Kluyveromyces lactis: one gene and its partners. The protein of the gene in region 2 interacts with the protein of the main gene of each other region in a biochemical or structural test. Links are inferred from orthologs where the notes say so. Each region holds a gene or a part of one and is shown on either strand. Other genes may lie near its edges.

The links.
Region 1: the proteins of MCM5 (region 2) and SLD5 form a complex in vitro, tested with the Saccharomyces cerevisiae proteins (3 studies listed by BioGRID). The link is inferred for Kluyveromyces lactis from reciprocal best matches to the Saccharomyces cerevisiae genes MCM5 and SLD5.
Region 3: the proteins of MCM5 (region 2) and PSF2 form a complex in vitro, tested with the Saccharomyces cerevisiae proteins (2 studies listed by BioGRID). The link is inferred for Kluyveromyces lactis from reciprocal best matches to the Saccharomyces cerevisiae genes MCM5 and PSF2.
Region 4: the proteins of MCM5 (region 2) and ORC2 form a complex in vitro, tested with the Saccharomyces cerevisiae proteins (2 studies listed by BioGRID). The link is inferred for Kluyveromyces lactis from reciprocal best matches to the Saccharomyces cerevisiae genes MCM5 and ORC2.
Region 5: the proteins of MCM5 (region 2) and MCM10 form a complex in vitro, tested with the Saccharomyces cerevisiae proteins (3 studies listed by BioGRID). The link is inferred for Kluyveromyces lactis from reciprocal best matches to the Saccharomyces cerevisiae genes MCM5 and MCM10.

The regions. Positions count from the first base shown.
Region 1 is NC_006042.1:1,023,568-1,026,366, reverse strand, and holds SLD5 (DNA replication protein SLD5), read right to left. Parts: upstream 1,390-2,799; coding exon 511-1,389; downstream 1-510. Other genes in the region: serine/threonine/tyrosine protein kinase RAD53, read left to right, coding at 1-238; PAC11 (dynein intermediate chain), read left to right, coding at 1,701-2,799. UniProt on the Saccharomyces cerevisiae protein: Required for DNA replication. Functions as part of the GINS complex which plays an essential role in the initiation of DNA replication by binding to DNA replication origins and facilitating the assembly of the DNA replication machinery.
Region 2 is NC_006040.1:778,812-783,017, reverse strand, and holds MCM5 (MCM DNA helicase complex subunit MCM5), read right to left. Parts: upstream 2,746-4,206; coding exon 505-2,745; downstream 1-504. Other genes in the region: mRNA splicing protein SMD2, read right to left, coding at 1-162. UniProt on the Saccharomyces cerevisiae protein: Acts as a component of the MCM2-7 complex (MCM complex) which is the putative replicative helicase essential for 'once per cell cycle' DNA replication initiation and elongation in eukaryotic cells.
Region 3 is NC_006040.1:558,098-560,485, forward strand, and holds PSF2 (DNA replication protein PSF2), read right to left. Parts: upstream 1,107-2,388; coding exon 501-1,106; downstream 1-500. Other genes in the region: ARG2 (acetyl-CoA:L-glutamate N-acetyltransferase), read left to right, coding at 1,429-2,388. UniProt on the Saccharomyces cerevisiae protein: Functions as part of the GINS complex which plays an essential role in the initiation of DNA replication by binding to DNA replication origins and facilitating the assembly of the DNA replication machinery.
Region 4 is NC_006042.1:1,707,889-1,711,334, forward strand, and holds ORC2 (origin recognition complex subunit 2), read left to right. Parts: upstream 1-1,145; coding exon 1,146-2,936; downstream 2,937-3,446. Other genes in the region: DNA-directed RNA polymerase III core subunit RPC11, read right to left, coding at 431-769; serine/threonine protein kinase AKL1, read left to right, coding at 3,243-3,446. UniProt on the Saccharomyces cerevisiae protein: Component of the origin recognition complex (ORC) that binds origins of replication. It has a role in both chromosomal replication and mating type transcriptional silencing. Binds to the ARS consensus sequence (ACS) of origins of replication.
Region 5 is NC_006037.1:50,753-54,578, forward strand, and holds MCM10 (Mcm10p), read right to left. Parts: upstream 2,330-3,826; coding exon 2,242-2,329; intron 2,159-2,241; coding exon 513-2,158; downstream 1-512. Other genes in the region: KLLA0_A00550g (uncharacterized protein), read left to right, coding at 1-489; MLP2 (Mlp2p), read right to left, coding at 2,552-3,826. UniProt on the Saccharomyces cerevisiae protein: Required for DNA synthesis. Required for entry into or completion of S phase. Involved in DNA replication and seems to participate in the activation of the pre-replication complex (pre-RC) and in transcription elongation.

The DNA of each region.
Region 1 (2,799 bases), on a different chromosome or scaffold from region 2:
GGAATTTATGAAGTCTAGATCATCACAACATGCCAAATCTAATATAAACCAGTCCTCTTCCAGTAACATAGATGCCAACTCGCAAAATATCGAGGAATTAGATTCTGTCGTTGAGATGAACTCGACTACAGGATTGAAAAGAATACATTCAGTGTCGTTATCTCAATCTCAACCGCAGACAACCAAAAGGGCTAAGCTTGCCCAAGCCCAGAAACCAGATATTGAAGGATTTCTCTGAGCTGATCATATGCTTGCCGGATGGGTTTTGCATACAGTAAATATGAAAAATAGGTACACTTTGAGTATGCTAGATAGACTTTTCAACGTTAATTGATGTAATACTAATACAAATTGGTTCAAAAGCACTATAGACCAGCAGTCAATAACACTAGGTAGAAAACATGCTGTGTTCGCAATAACATTGTTGAGAAATTATTGCTGGCAAACATTCGTTACAAACCTATATTTTTCGAAGAGTCATAGGTTCAGTAATACTGTTCAGAATTTTCATTATATTAAAACTACTCGTCCCTCAGTCATGAGATCTCGTATTACACTATAACGTATTACGTATACTGCCCCGATTAATAAGTAAATTTCTTCATTTAAATCTTCAATAATCACTGAGTAACAGTGTTTTCCATCATCATCGGTCGTTAATTTCGAATCAATACCACTTTCGTCAACTACCCCACCACAAACTAGTATAAATACAGTTTTATTCCAATCGGGTTCATCAATCATACTGATGGAACCCTCAGTATCGTTAACGGCTTGCAGTTCTTCTGGTAAGTGCTTAAGTACTGCGTTGTTAAACAGTTTTAGTAATATGTCAGAATGCTTCATATGGTACTTCACCTCTTCTTTGGACATCAATAAATCTAGTCTGCTGAGGCCCGCATTATTGGGTAGTTCGGATTGTTGTCTTAGGTAAATGCTGTATTTGTCAATTTTGCTTAACCGGCATCTGATGAAAGATCGAACTAGGAACTTCAATCTCTCAAGTTCTGCTTCCATGCATAAAAGTGGTAGCTTTGAATCGACAGTTAACTCTTGATTATCTTCTAAGTATCCCATTGATAGTGTTTCTATTAGTTCAATTCTTTCTTGAATCCTTATTAATGTCCTAGTCATGAGATGATGTGGATATGGAAGCAGCTCCGGACTCATACGTTCATTCTTCCAATGTGTAATTAGCTTTTGATAGTCGTCAATTTTGTTAAACTGTGTGGGAGCCACAGGGTCAACCGCCTTATCTGCTGGTCTTATCTGAGAGACATCATTGCCTTGAGTTCGATCGCTTTGGTCTGGGTATGAAGAAGCATTTTGTTCAACAGCTGTAGTGTCCCTATCCAGCTCAGCTAGAATGTCGTCAATATCAATGCTCATTGTACTAAAGAAATATGATCCTACCACCAGGACTCAAAGCGGAGGAAGTGTTCGGATAGTACACCGGGGTGGCTTTTATAATTGCTGTAAAGGTGTATTCAGACAAGAAGGACTTACTTGCAATGTGTTATCCTCCAACCTATTGTGAAATTCATCCAACTTACTGTAACATCGTATTTTTGATAATACTCAAATCTTATTTATCATCTTTTGTTTACGCTTAACAAATCCATACATGAAGCAAGATAAAACGCGTCAGTGAAGAAGCGCTCATCAGCAACACCAACCTCAGGGGGAATATACCCAGAAATATGGACAAGAATGAGCGCTTACAGTTGATGAAGCAGAAAATAGAGGCTCTTCAGCTGCAAAGGAAAAAAATTGATTCGAAACATGAAGAGATAGCAGATTGTACCCTTCCGTTCATTTCCCATATCACCAATTCCATAAATAACAACGAATCTGAAGTCAAGAAAGAAGTAAAAACTGTTGAGATCTCAGTGCAAACAGATGATGTAAATGAGTTTGAATTGAGCGCTGTTAAGGAGGCTGTGATAACATATGATATCGGAATACAGACAGATGAATATGACGGGAAACATGAAATTATGGAAGATGGACATCTACCTTCCCAAGATCTTATAGAACAGCAAGCATCGACTTCAGATATTACAGAGACCAAGGAGGATAAAGAAGTTGTTGAAAAGGATGTGTTTGATTTCGGAAATGTCGTTTCAGCGGAAGACTACGCAACGTTGAAGAAAGAAACATTTTCACTACAGGAGACTATAGAAGCGGCTGCGCTCAAGTCATCTTCTCATCAAATCGCTGGTGATGGGAAAATAAGCATGTATTTATCAATTTCACCAAAAGTTGCCATTGATTCAACTTCTGAAGCAAGGGTCATTTCCAGTGACGTCTTAGATAATTTACTGGTTACTGTGATTCATCTTGTAACCAAATACGTGAAAAGCTCTTTAGTTCAAATCACACACGTCTCTTCTGGTGAGGTACTTGATACAGTTTTATTCCAAGGTCAGAATGTTGTACGGAGCAAGTTTATTGATAATCCTAATTCTAAGATTACCTCCGTCGTTCTTTCTTGCTATACAGGAAAACTCATCTTATATGAACTGCGAACAGTCAAAATAAATAATAGCTTTCAGGTGGAAAGAAATATTGTTTCCACTAATTATCATCACTATCCGGTACTTTCAATTATAATTCCAAAATTCAATGACCATAGCATCCTGGCGGCCAGCACCAATGGCCAACTTAAGCTGATATCAACCTTAGATTTATCATTAAAAGAGGATGACGATGTCAAAATTATTCCTATCCCAAGGACGGACTTATCATATTCTACTGAACAGACTAAAAAAGATAACAAGTATTACCAACACCTATTGA
Region 2 (4,206 bases):
ATTGTTCCTTAGTGATATTATAACAGGTGTCCTCTGTAGCATTGATTCCCTGATTAGAGACATGGGTCCATATTTCATTTCGAATTCTTCTAGTTGTGTTAGCTCGTCTCTAGATAGTTCAGACCTTGAAAGGTCTGTCTTTGGAATATATGTATCGGCCATCGTGTTTTAGGTCAATTTTCTAGTATATGTAACAGACAAATCCTGAAGATAAGTCCTTGGCTTATGATATTTGCAATCTCGTAAGTTTGTGATAACTTGTCCTGATTGCCATATGATATGAGAGGTTCCTTCTTTGGTCATCTCATCATCTCATCCTGTGCATCAAACCCAATATACCATCCAGTTGTTTTCTTTCGGATTATCCAATTATCATTATCATTATCCGGGTAATCTTACACTATATAAATATCAACACATAGTCGCTGAAATTCCTTATACACAGTGGTACATATGAGTTATAGACAATGTTCAAGGAGGGGTTCCTGAATTTCATTTGCAACTTCATACTCCACTTCTATAAATATTCTGACCTTGATGTCTTAGTTGAATAGAATCATGTCTTTCTAACAGGTATAACGCCTTATCTAGCGCATATTGGGGAAGTTTCTTGTTCACAACGAATTCCCTTTGCAAAGTTTTGTAACTTGTAGACCATCCTATTGGCAACCTTCTTTTCAATTCAGATTCGATTCTTCTAATTTGTGAGAGCATTGTTGTATCATTTTCCTGGGAGTTGATAGGATCCTGAGAGGCAGCATCCATCGTAGAAGCTTGGAATAATCTAATGGCTTCATCAACATGTTTTTCGGTCGCTACTGGATTCAGTTCTAATTTAGCTAAAGATTCTGTGATACGAATTATGGCTTCTAATTGACGAACTGTGATTGGAATGGAAGACCTCTCATTGGAATGTCTTTCGGACTCTTGTAATTGTTTTCTAATAGTGATGAAATGAGAAGATAATTTTGTGGCTGCTTCAGGAGATAACCTGGGGGCACATTTTAACCTACAGTAACTAACATATCTCTTCATAGTTTCTATTGGAATTTCGTTGTTGGAGTTGGAATTATCATTTGGATCGTTTTGTTGAGTTCTTCCTGTGTGAATGTTCATGACGTGGTTCGCAATTTGGATATCTCTAGCTTCATTGTGATCATCTTTAACAATGAAGATCATATCGAATCTGGACAAGATGGTAGTTTGGAAATCAATGTTTTCACCCGGTGATTTCAAATCATCATATCTACCGTAAACAGGGTTTGCTGCAGCTAAGACACTAGTTCTAGAATTCAAAACGGTAGTGATACCGGCTTTAGCAATGGAAATAGTTTGTTGTTCCATGGCTTCATGGATGGCAACACGGTCCTCGTCTCTCATCTTGTCAAATTCGTCAATACAGACAACACCACCATCAGCAAGCACCATTGCACCTCCTTCTAGGTAAAATTCCCGTGTAGTTGGATCTCTTTGGACACTTGCCGTCAAACCAGCTGCAGAAGAACCTTTACCAGATGTATATACCGAAATCGGAGAAACTTTTTCCACAAATTTCAACAGTTGGGATTTTGCAGTACCAGGATCACCAAGCAGTAGCACGTTGATATCACCTCTTAGTCTCATACCATCTGGTAACAATTTCTTCGATCCGCCCATAAGGAGACAAACGATGGCTTTCTTGATATCAGTGTTACCATAGATACTGGGAGCAATTGAGTTGGCGAAAAGTTCATATAGATCTGGTCGTTGGGAAAGCTCCAAAAATTCTTGTTCTTCACTTTCCGAAAACATAGATAGAGAATTGTTTAACGGATTATTTGATAGGTGTTTGATCCCGATAACTTTCACGTAAGGGTTTCTGATCGCCACAGCTTTATTTCCAGAACTATTAATACTCTTATTCTTGGATTGGTAGATGGAATAAATACCAATAATGGTAACTCTTGTTCCTGGAACAACTTGGTTGGTCAAATATCTATCACATGTCATTAGTAAATTTCTAGGCAATTCACCAATTGGCACGGATTCCGGTAATTCTTGTAGTTTCAAAAACTGTTGGTCAATAAACTGTGACGATTCGTGTACGATTAAATATGGGTCAGGGCCACAAGAAGCTGCTGTTTCATCTGTTTCGTTGGAACGATCTGCAAGACACTCACGAGGTAACTGGACGTTATTGTTATTCAAATTCTGGAAATTGTTCAACTTCAAAGTTGTCATATGTTTACAGCTTCTACACATTAGCGATAACTGAGTGGCTCTTGATGTCAAGACACTGGATGAGATGATGATCCCTGTAATTCTGACGATCTTAGAAACGTGATCCGAATCCAAACTTCTTAATGGAATTTCCATAGAACTGGAATTTAAAATGAGCTGACATAGTGGGAAGTTCGACAACGCTGTCTCTGGATCAATATCAGAATCTTGCGATAACAAAACAATTCTCTTTGCCACTTGAGTTATTGCTTGTTCGAACAACGGGATAATATCTATCGGTTCATCCTGTAATTTTTTGTATAGATCTTCATTATATCCAATAAGATGCTCCGTATTCACGTCAAGGAAGTATTTATGAACCAACAGGTTATTTCTCAGTTGTTCTCTGTAAACGAAGTTGGAATCTAGTCTGAATTCCAGTATGAAACTCTTAAAAGATTTGATAATCTCTGAATTTTCATTGGAAGACAGTTCTTCACCTGCCAACACTCTAGTGGTATGGATCTCTGGTTTATCAAACGACATGGCCTGTCTTCAATTGACTTGTTGCCCTTGAAATTGTATAATACCTATCTCAGCAGTTTACTTAGAAACACAGACATGTAATACGGATACTCTTTAAGATGTATGATGTTTGTTGTAATTTAAGTCGCGATTGAATCCGGATATTCAAAACAGAATAAAATTCCAAATCAAAAAAAAAAAAAGCTTGATCTTCGCTTAACCTAATACGGAAAAGTAATTGATCGAACCGAAAGAAAAATAAATATGAAACAACACTTCTCAACACGTGACCCGGAAGGTTAAAATGCGGTTTTCTTTTTGCCTTGAGGGATTCAATTTAGGTGACGACGCGTTGCTCGAACAACCAACTGCACCGAATAAGGAAAGTCAATAAGGGTGCATTGCTTTCGTGGTTTGTTCTGATCTTAGAAATCGGAGAAACTTCGCTACACAGAATAACCGCTGAAATGTAATGAAAAATTCCTGCCACCTTACCAAAAGCGGCAAAAGGCCAAGCCAGGATAACTTAGCTATCTAGCAAAATCAAGCGTACTGATTTTTCAAGCCGTTCTTTAATCGGTCAAAAATGAAAGATGCAAAAAATCCGGTATTCAGCCATATTGGTGAAGAGGGGCAAGAGGAGACTGAATCCCGACTAAATTTTTCTACGACTTGAACTGAGTGAAACGGCTAGGAAAAACCTCATGATCGGTCACCAGACCAACAGCTGTTACAACAATATAAAGGTGGAGAGTAAATGTCACAAGAATGTTCTTAGAATTACTACAGACGAATCACTTTGCCTGTGCTTTCAACCGCACTGCAAAAAATGTTGAATGCATTCATCACAATTCAAGCCGCCAAAATCATTGAAAAATTATGGAAGCATTCTAGTCAGAAAATTTTTCTTTGATTTTGGGATTAGGAAATCATTGATTGAGCATTAGGTAAAAAATTTCAAGTCTGTTATTCATTTGTCCGCGCATCATCAGCTCCCTCTCTCTCTCCCAGTGTGTTCCTGATCTGATTCAGCACTAGACTCACCCGGCTTAGCGCCCTTATTAACCCCGTGTTGAGCTTGTGCGAACAGCCTGCAGAATATCATACGATTTAATGTTAACTACACTATGGGGAAAAAGCAAATTAGAAAAAAAGAAAAACAAGAAAAAAAATAGGCGCACGTCTAGAAAGTAATCGCGCTCATACACGCCTTACATGTAGATATCCCTCGCTCTTGCCACCCCATGCTTTATTATTAGCCATTCCAGTAAGATGAATCCAGCACTGAAACGTCAGTATCGAGCATTCAGTCATTGCCATGGCTAGAACTAGCTCTCAAAGAAAAACCCCCATTCCAGCTGCATCTCCAGTCGTATTTCCGGGTTCCTCTGTGAGAGTTTATGGTAAGTAAGTATGTATGTTTGTTTGTACTTGTGAATATTCCCAACAGTTTTACCATGGGGGTGCCTCCACGGCACATAT
Region 3 (2,388 bases), about 220 kb from region 2:
TGCTCAATTTCTACTGTTATTGTTTTCTATCTACGGTAAATTCTTTTCCCAACGTAATATTGAAGAAACGTGATTCGTTTCCGTGTTTGTGTTCCCCCCTTGTGTCGTTTTCTGTAAGTTATACCCGTAGTTCAATGCAAGGAACCGAAATAGCCTGAAGAACAACAAATATGATGAAGCAAGAACGTGGGGTGCACACGCAAGGCATGCCCGCGAGGCATGTTTGCGACACAAACGTAAATAAGAACTAAGCAGTGCGTGAATGTTCGGGATGGATCAGTTGTTTCGAATTACTACAAACTGTGAAGCGGGTACATGTAGGGTATGTAATATATGTGTTATTTGATAGGCCTGTACTTACATGGTAACCCGACCTTTTCTAGTGATTATGGTCAACTGTGTTATCATATAACCATGTAGGTTGGATTAAGGGGAGGGACTGGTGGAAACCTCGTGAATGGAATTTTGGATTCAATGGGAAAAGGTTATTATATTATTGATCACGTGGTGTCATTACTGGAGTCATGAATTGTCCTCAGTTTGTCCATGATACCACACGCATAGGGTCTCATCTCATTGATTTCCATCAAGGACAAGTTCTCTAGCTGTAAATGCGATTCGTTCAGGTACTGCAAACCCTTGTTGACTTTTCCCAAACGAACTTCTCGCAGATCTTGGACCTTAGATCTCAGTAGATGAACTGGATCCTGAAAATCATCGCTGCATCTGGCAAACAGCAGTGACGATACCACTAGCCAATTCCAGGGTAGATTGGAGAATCGTGATGGGTTTTTCAATTCAAAATCTAAATACTTCTCCAGCTGTTGTAACGTCAGCCAACTGGGTACCACGACGTTACACTTTCCCTGTTGTTTTAACAGTAAAGCCAGCCATAACGTGACTTCGCAACTATTCATTGCAACCATGTTATTTACCGTAGAATCATCGCATGTGATCAGTGACCATTGGGCGCCAGGATCCTTCGCGAGCTGTTTTTTGGTCTTCCTCGTAGTGATTCTGGGCATAATTCGTGTCGGTTCATTTTCAATTAAAAACTGTATCTCTTGGGGAGAAAATCCTATTGATAGATCTCTCGGTAGTGCCATCTCTATTTCAGGTTGGAGTTGCTAATCTATAGTGTCCTCAAGCTCACTACTTCCTTACATAGTGCTTTCAATGCGCGACTATGACCAATCGATATCTGTGCTTCAATTATTTTTCCATGTTCAATCTTGACATTGAAATCCAGCACAGGAAAAACAAAAACAGGAAAGACTAACTAAAGCTTTAAACTGGCAGTTTTCTCTGATGACTTGACTCATTGATAAAACTAGAATAAATGATGGTTTTATACACTTTCCATATTTGCAGATAAATGGTTTGATCTCATCATATAACGTCCAAAGGCACATTTTGTGGGCTAGTGCTATGATCAAAACATGGATTAGGTGTTTGACCACAGAGGTCAGATACCATCAACCTAATGCTCATGGCAGGAGTTTGGTTATGAGCGTTTTGAATTCTACAGTGACTAAAAGGGAAGCGAAAGACTATTTGAACAAATATACCGATGAGAATAATCATCACTACTGTCTTGTATTTTTGAGACATTTGTCCGAATATTCAGATAACGTACTTAGTGGGTTTAGCAAGACTGTGTCAAGAATTCAAACACTCGGACTAAGACCAATTTTAATAGTAGACCCGCTATGCCAAGACATATCATACCAAAGTCAGCGTTTGGACAATCATTTGCATGATCAGAGTCTGAAGTCAATAATCGTATTAGATCCCATTACCATCGGTGAACGTGGCTCAATTGACGTAAAACTTCCGATTTTGAACCCGCATATTATTCCGATTATTGAGCCATATCAGTACCATGAGAAGGAAGCTTTTAAGAAATTGGCTGGCGATCCATCTCGATTCTTATCATCTCTAGTGAGTAACTTGCCCATAAATATCGACAAGGTGTTCCTTATCAGCAAGTATGGTGGATTGCCGTCTGTGGAAAGACATACAAACAGCCATGTCTTTGTAAATTTGTCACAAGAATATCGAGAATTGAGAAACAGTTATCAAAATCAATTGGAGAAACTAGAATCTATTCAAGTGGATAATACTGAGAAGAATTTGGTAGAATCTCTACAATTATTTTTGAATCAGGATAAGATTCTTAGTAACAGCGATCAACTGAAATGTCATATGGAAGACCTTGAAATCATGAATAAAACGCTATCAGTTCTACCACATTCGTCTACTGGGCTAATTACCACTATTTTAGCAGGGTCCAAATTATCAGATAATAACCCATTGGTATATAATATCTTGACTGATCGTTCATTGATATCGTCATCTTTACCTCGATTCAAAAGATCGGCTGCGGCT
Region 4 (3,446 bases), on a different chromosome or scaffold from region 2:
ACGTCTCATGTATTTAATTCTTAGTTTCTAATGATCTTAATTTCTTACGCTTCAAAAACCAAGTCGGTCGTTAGTACCATACAGCGTTGCACGAAATGGTTCTGTCAGGCCGTCGACAATACTTTTATTTTGTCTTGTTCAATCTATTTGTAGATTTATACATTATATTACACTTTGATTCAGAAGAAGTTTCATCAAACCCTAACAACTTCCTTTTGCGAGCCTAATGAAAGCGTGATCTACCTTTCATCATTTGAAAGATTAAGCATGCGTTTTTAGCTGGGCGAGAGACAAATGGCAGCGATTAAAGCCGAACATTTATCTTCTTGTCAGTTTTTTGCTCTAAGCGATGTAATAACTGCTAAGAAGATCTATAATATTTTGTTTGATGCGTATCGAAATCAAAGTAAATTTCAAAAATACACAATCTCTAGTTCTCTCTCCATTTATGACCACAGTTAACACATTTGTAGAAAGTTGTCATAGGTTCATCTGCAGATCTGATTTGCAACTGGAAGAAGTAAGCTCTTTCACCCGCACATTGGTCATGGTTCGGACATTGTGCTGCTGTCTGGTCAACATTATCCCATGCACCTTCTCCACCTAAGACATCATCAACTTCTTTCCTAGGGAGGTTCTTTCTATCGTATACCTCTATCCCATCAATTAAAAACTGGTATGGGCATGATCCGCATGCTAGTTTATACAGACCTGAATCAGCTTTTGATACCAACAACATGTTATTGCATAATGGGCAAAACGAAAGCATCCTACAACTTAATTCTCAATGTCAGACTCCTCAAACACGATACGTTAACGCACCGTTACCTGCCCATAAGCTCCTTCAACACGTTATCGCATACACTCTAAAATGAACCTCATCGCTATAATTATTGAGAGTAGGTTTTAATTCTTTCCTCATCTCATATAGAAATTTTTCAGAAAAAAAAAAGTAGAGCTTCATGCCTTTAACTTTGAATCGATATTTATGTTGACATTTAAGGTTTGTATGTCAAATATAGTGTATAGGGTTAATACCTGTGGGCGAGGTTTGATAGAAGAACAACTCCCACATTTATAAGTTAGTTTCCATTCTCTAGACTTTAGAGTATTTGATTATCTTGGAGCGGTTAAACCTTGAAAACATGACGAAGAAAGAGTGCAGTGATAATGAGGAAGAAGAAGAAGACATTGATATTGTAAATCACCAAGACATTTTCATATCACCTTCCAAAGTAAGATATCAGTCACCGAAGAAACTTAAAAGTTTTGATTTTCTTTCGCCTTCCAAAACGGTACGACCTAAGTCACCCAAACGATCGCTCACATTAGAGTCTGTTAGCATTGAGACTGAATATAAAGATGAAGAGAGTAGGAAGCACTCATCGACAGATACTGCAACTCCCAGGCGAAGGCAAAGGAAAACAACCAAGAGGGTGAAGTTGGAGGAAGATGATGCCATTGACTATGTGTCAGATACTAATGAATTGATACACAATGACGACGAATACGAGGATCTAAAAATTAAAATAGATTCTAATGAAAGCTCACCTAATAAGTCGCCTAGGAGAAAACTTACATTTAATGCAGAACCATCACCCCAAAGAAAGACTACCAGAAATACAGTTCAAAGGAATAAAATTATAGACGATGATCTTGCATACGACGATATCCAGCAGTATAAGCATCTGAAATTGAACTTGAACCCTAATTTCAAACCGACTAAGTTGCCAAAGAGCGATAATAATGACCAAACATCTGATGAACAATCTCAAATATATTTTTTCGATGGTTTCGAAGGTTTCATAGATCAGACCAAGATCCTAAAAACTGATAAAAGATCCAAGAACTCGATGTCCTCGGCACCAAGTATTTCCAGAGATGAATATAACATTCTTTCTCAACTTTCCAATGATATATTCCATCGTTCATCGACAAAGGCAGTACAAAAAATACATGAAACACTCTTTCAGCAGTTTACTTTCGAGTTACTGCAGGGATTTACGTTATTATTCTATGGTATCGGATCGAAGAAGAAATTCCTCGAATCATTTGCATTCAACTTTCTTTCTATGAAGATCGCCTTGTTGCAAAACCCGGATATTCAAAAAGATGATCCATGTATACCGGTTTTTGTAATGAACGGGTACACCACTCTCTCTAAGAACATCTTTTTGGATATATTCAAAATCTTAGTAGAGGGCGAGACTATTGATGATCAAGGTCAATCAAATTATTGGGATAATCGAATTGACTTGCAAATGGACAGGCTTTCAAAATATTTCAAGAAAAGACCTCCTACGGTGAAGATGATTCTTTTGATACATAACTTGGACGGTCCGTCATTCCGGAGAGAACATTTTCAAACCAGAATGAGTATTCTTGCACAAATCAAACAAATCTGTGTCGTAGCAAGTGTCGACCATATACAAGCTCCTTTCCTTTGGGATCATTTCAGAGCTCAATCATTCAACTTTGTTTACCACGATATCACAAATTTTGAGCCGTACATCGTAGAAACAGTACAAACCGATAATGCTATCGACTTTTCCAAAGATTCAGGTACCTTGTTTAATGCGAACGGTGCTAAATACGTACTAGAATCCCTGACGGACAATTCTAAAAGAATGTACAAAATTCTTCTTCAACTTCTAATGGGACAGATTAATGCCAAGAACGAGTCAAAGCCTCGTGCAAAATCTAGTTCCTTAAACAAAATCACACCTGGGATTGAGTTCTCTGAACTTTTTAAAACATGCACCGAACAGTTCGTAGTCTCGAGCGAAATGGGTCTTCGAACCATCCTATCAGAGTTCATTGATCATAAGATGGCTGTCAATACGAAAAATAAAATGGGTAAAGAGATCATAAATGTTAAATATAGCTATGGAGACATGGAAAAAATGATAACTGAGATAGATTCCATGCTGCAATAAATAATCCTTATTTAAATTCACCATACATATTTATATTTATACTCTAGCGTTCTGATCTCATTTGGCTTTACCATACCGTCCACCAGGGTTCATTTCTTTTACATTTCCTATGCTGAATCAGTTCTGCTTCCGAAAATCACTGAAAAATAAGTTTTCGATAAAGATTACTATTTTAATGAACTTAAGGTTATATGGTTAAGAAGAAAAGGGAGAATTCGATAAAGAAGAGTATCGTATACACTAACAGCAAGTGTTGGAAGCACTGTTGGTAGTGGTATTTAATTCAGCAGTCCGCTAAATATTGTGATGAGCAAATCAGACACTATATCCAGACCGAATTCGGTGGCACATACTGCGGCGACCTCTGCTATGATTCCGAATTCGCATCTGTTGAGTCCCAACACTCAGGTTGTTGTTGGCACTCATAGGTGTGAAATTTTGGAGCATTTAGCTGAGGGTGGGTTCGCAAATATATACAAGGTAAAATTCTTGGAATTGACTAACGAGATG
Region 5 (3,826 bases), on a different chromosome or scaffold from region 2:
TACCAGAAAATGGGCATTGAAAGGTTTAGAGTTGCTAGCCAGCGAATTTTAAGAGAATACAAGCTCGAATCTCGCGTCTCTATTCCCGATATTCTGGAAGGATCTTTTAGTTATTTTGCGTTAATAAATACCACAAATCTGGAGCCAACTTATATGCCATCTCCCGATTCTGATCCATTGGAATCACAACTACATGTATTGGCATACCAGTCTTCTCTGGATAGAGTAGAATTCCAGAAAAGGGTATTTATGGGTTATTCAAATACGAAGCATTCAAACATCTTACAGAATGGAACGTTTTACAGACCACTGCCATTTTGTTTTAACGTCGAAGTACTAGACGATCCGTCACAAAAGAGCAACTTTGAAGTTTGCTGTGATGGGCAACTTCTTAACTTACTAGAGTTAGAGGGAAAGAATACTCCACCATCCACGATAAGAATTGAGACTTGTACGGAGCCATCATTAAAAGTACTACATTCTTTATAATATATTAAACCTTACATTATTGTCTATATAATTTCCAAATCATCACTTGAGCCTTCATCTTTATCGAGCCGCTCTTGGCTGCCTTTCATTATTTCATTGAAGATAGCGTTTCTCTTTTCAATTTTCTCTTTCAATTGTTTCTTCGAAGGTTTCAGGCTAACATTATCTTTCTTTATATTGCAAATATCCGTTATCGCCAGCTGTTTATCATTCTTTGGCGCCTTATTCTCTGTAGAATATTCAAGCATCTCTAAAGACGCTTTCCCTTTTGTTGGGTCATAACCAATTTGGTTCGCTAAACCATGTTGGAACATGCTCAACGTCGCAGTCTTTTTTGCTTCTTGATTGACTCGGTCTTCCTTCTTTGACAACAATTTGTCGGATAGACCCTTTAACTTTTTCTCCAAGTTTCGATTGTTTCTGAGTTCTTGAATTTTGCGTCTTTTGTTATCAAGGTTGGCCAGTATGTCAGGATTTTCGTAGTCGTCATCGAAAAACGCGGTAGAGGCATTTGCAGAACTGAAGAGGAATCTGTTGGTCTCTGCAGCTGCCGGTTCTCGTACAAACGGTTTATCAGGATTTTGTTGATATCTTATGGATGTTTTACCATTATTGTGTTGTGATTTTACAATAGTCTGTTGATATCCTTTGACAACTGGCGCTCTCATTGCCACAGAGCTACTAATTTCAACTCTTCTAGAACTGTTTTGCCTCATTTTTGCCTCTTTATGATATGCACAGTAGTTATCATGCAATTTGTTTATTGGCGCACCACATAGCTTGCCTTTGTTCTTCATGTAAAATTGGCACAATCCGAATTCCTTACTGTGACCTAGTTCCAGTATATTATTGGTGTCTTTACTAACTTTTAACGAAAATGTAGCGTAACTAGGGCTTGCTCCCGCTTCCAGTTTCTTGGAAGGCATTATTTCAGGGTTAAGTATAGCAATCAAATCACCTAATCTTAGTTTGTAATACTTTTCAACTATACTTTTCCCAAAGAAAATAACATTCAGTTCAAATTGGAAATCACTTATGGTTAGGCTGAAGAATTTCACCGGTTTCACAGAATTTGTCATTCTTGGTTCAGTTTTCTTTGAGATGATACCCAATACCAACCAATTGGGATAATCAGGTTCAGAGAACTTAGGGGCTCTCACCTTACTGAAGAGCTTTGGAAGTCGAAGCACTTTTATGTTTTTAGTATGTTTCCTAAGTACGGCCAACGGTACATACCTTCTGTCTATAACCAGACCACTCAAATCATCTTTTTCATCAACAGTAATTGGTTCATATTCATCGAACATGTCGCCATTGAATGTGTAAACTCGATGTGCCAATAATTCTTTCTTCCTTTTAATCGCTTCATGTTCATTTGTATTGATGGAGCGAAGTTTTTCAGTAAAGTAAGAAGTGGTACCCAACTTTTTGACCTTTTCCCTTACATAATCCTCATTAACATTAAATGTAGCTTCCTCTATATCTGCTACTGGCGCAATATGTTTGATATCCTCTATTCCTTTTGTAGCATTATCTGATTTCTTAGGAGACTCTGGAACGTCGATAGAATCGAAATTAGGGTCTTTGAGGTTTCTCTTCTTCTCTAGTTCCAACAGCCGGTTAGTTAAATCTCGTTTCTCAGTGTCAATTTCAACAATTCTTCGTTTCACTTTGATTTAATGATTGGTTATAATATGTTAGTAGGATATTCTAATGTCATTGATCTCGGTAACCATTATTATTAGAACATACCTCTTTCGATTTCAGATTCATCATCAGATAATTCCTCGTACGGGTCGAACGCCGTAATTTCTCTCGGGTCAGTTAGATCATATGACATGATGCATCTTCACTGTTACCTATACTCGATAGCTTCTGTAACTATTCTCGTTCATTCTTTACTTGTGGGATGTCATTATTTTGTTTTCTCGTTTGAATATCTGTGGAAAGTAATACTAGTATTTTTTACATGTTGAAAACGAATGGTCAAATAATGATACATAATAGAAAAAAATTAAATAGAACTTCGGTAATATTAACAGCCATAAAATCGTCTGGAGAATCAGGCTTCCTGACCATCCTCAGTATCACTTTCAGGCTCTTTGTGACGTTTCTCAGGCTGTTCTGTTGCGGTGTCGTCTATGGGTCTCTTATTAGGAGAAATTTCTGACGTTGAGAAGGGACTAGTGAATGTTGAATGAGAGCCAAATACAGGGGCCTGGAATGCTGCACTCATATTAGAAGTGTCATTCTCTACAGGTTTAATTGTGGACTTTTGTTGTTCTAAATTCCTGATCTTGCTTTCCAAAAATTTCAATTTCAAGGAAACTTGCTGTTTCCCTTCTTCGAAAGATTTTTGTTTTATTTCTGCCAAATCTGCTTCAAATTGCTTACGCATGGAATCCTTAAGTGCATTCAATTCTGCACGATGCTTTTCTAGAGTAATGGCATCATTTCCGATCTCTCCTGCCAATTTTTGGGCCTTTTCGTTTACCTTTTCTTCAAAGGACTCTTCTAAAACAGCTTTTCTTGCCTCAACTATTTTATCAATCTTTTGTTGAGTAGGTAACCTGATCCGTTTCTTGAGGGCTTCTTCTGCTAATTTAATTTTTTCCAGAGTCTGCTTCTCATATTCTTTTTCCCATTCATTCTTCAAAGCATCGATGTCTATATCCAAGGTAGGCTGCGAAGGAGACTGGACAGTAGTCTTTTCGCACTCTTCACGAATTCTCTTTTCTCTTTCTTCAAACTGTTTCCGGAGCTCTTCCTCTCTGGAATTCCAAGCAGATTCTTTTTCTGCCTCAAACTTGCTCCTCAATTCTTTTTCTTTATCTTTTATTAATTGTTCTTTTTCAGCTTCAAATTCTGTTTTCAAATTATCCACTATTGACTTCGTGTCTTCGTTGATAACTGGCGTATGATGTTCAGCTACTATTTTTTGAGCGTTGGAGGCTTCGGCTTCAAGCTCCTGTATTTTACTATTTAACATTTCCACAGTCTCAGTCAACGATTTTATTTTTTCATCTGAATCTGCATTATTCTGTTCGGTCTTGGAAGCATTTTCCATTTGAACCTGAATAGAATGTAGATCTTCCTGCAATTTAGATAATTGAGAGTTAAAAGTCTGTTCCTTTGTTTCTGCTTCTTGCGTTACCACTTGTAATCTTTCTTCTAACTCTTTGCAAGCGGTCTTACATTTTCCTAAATCGGCCTCCACTTGAGATTTAGCTTCATTGATTTGGTTTATTTCTGATGATAAAGATTGTTCCTTTTCCTTGGAGGCATTCAATCTATCACGTGCTTGAAGCCTAATTCTTTGGAACTTCGATTCCCAGTC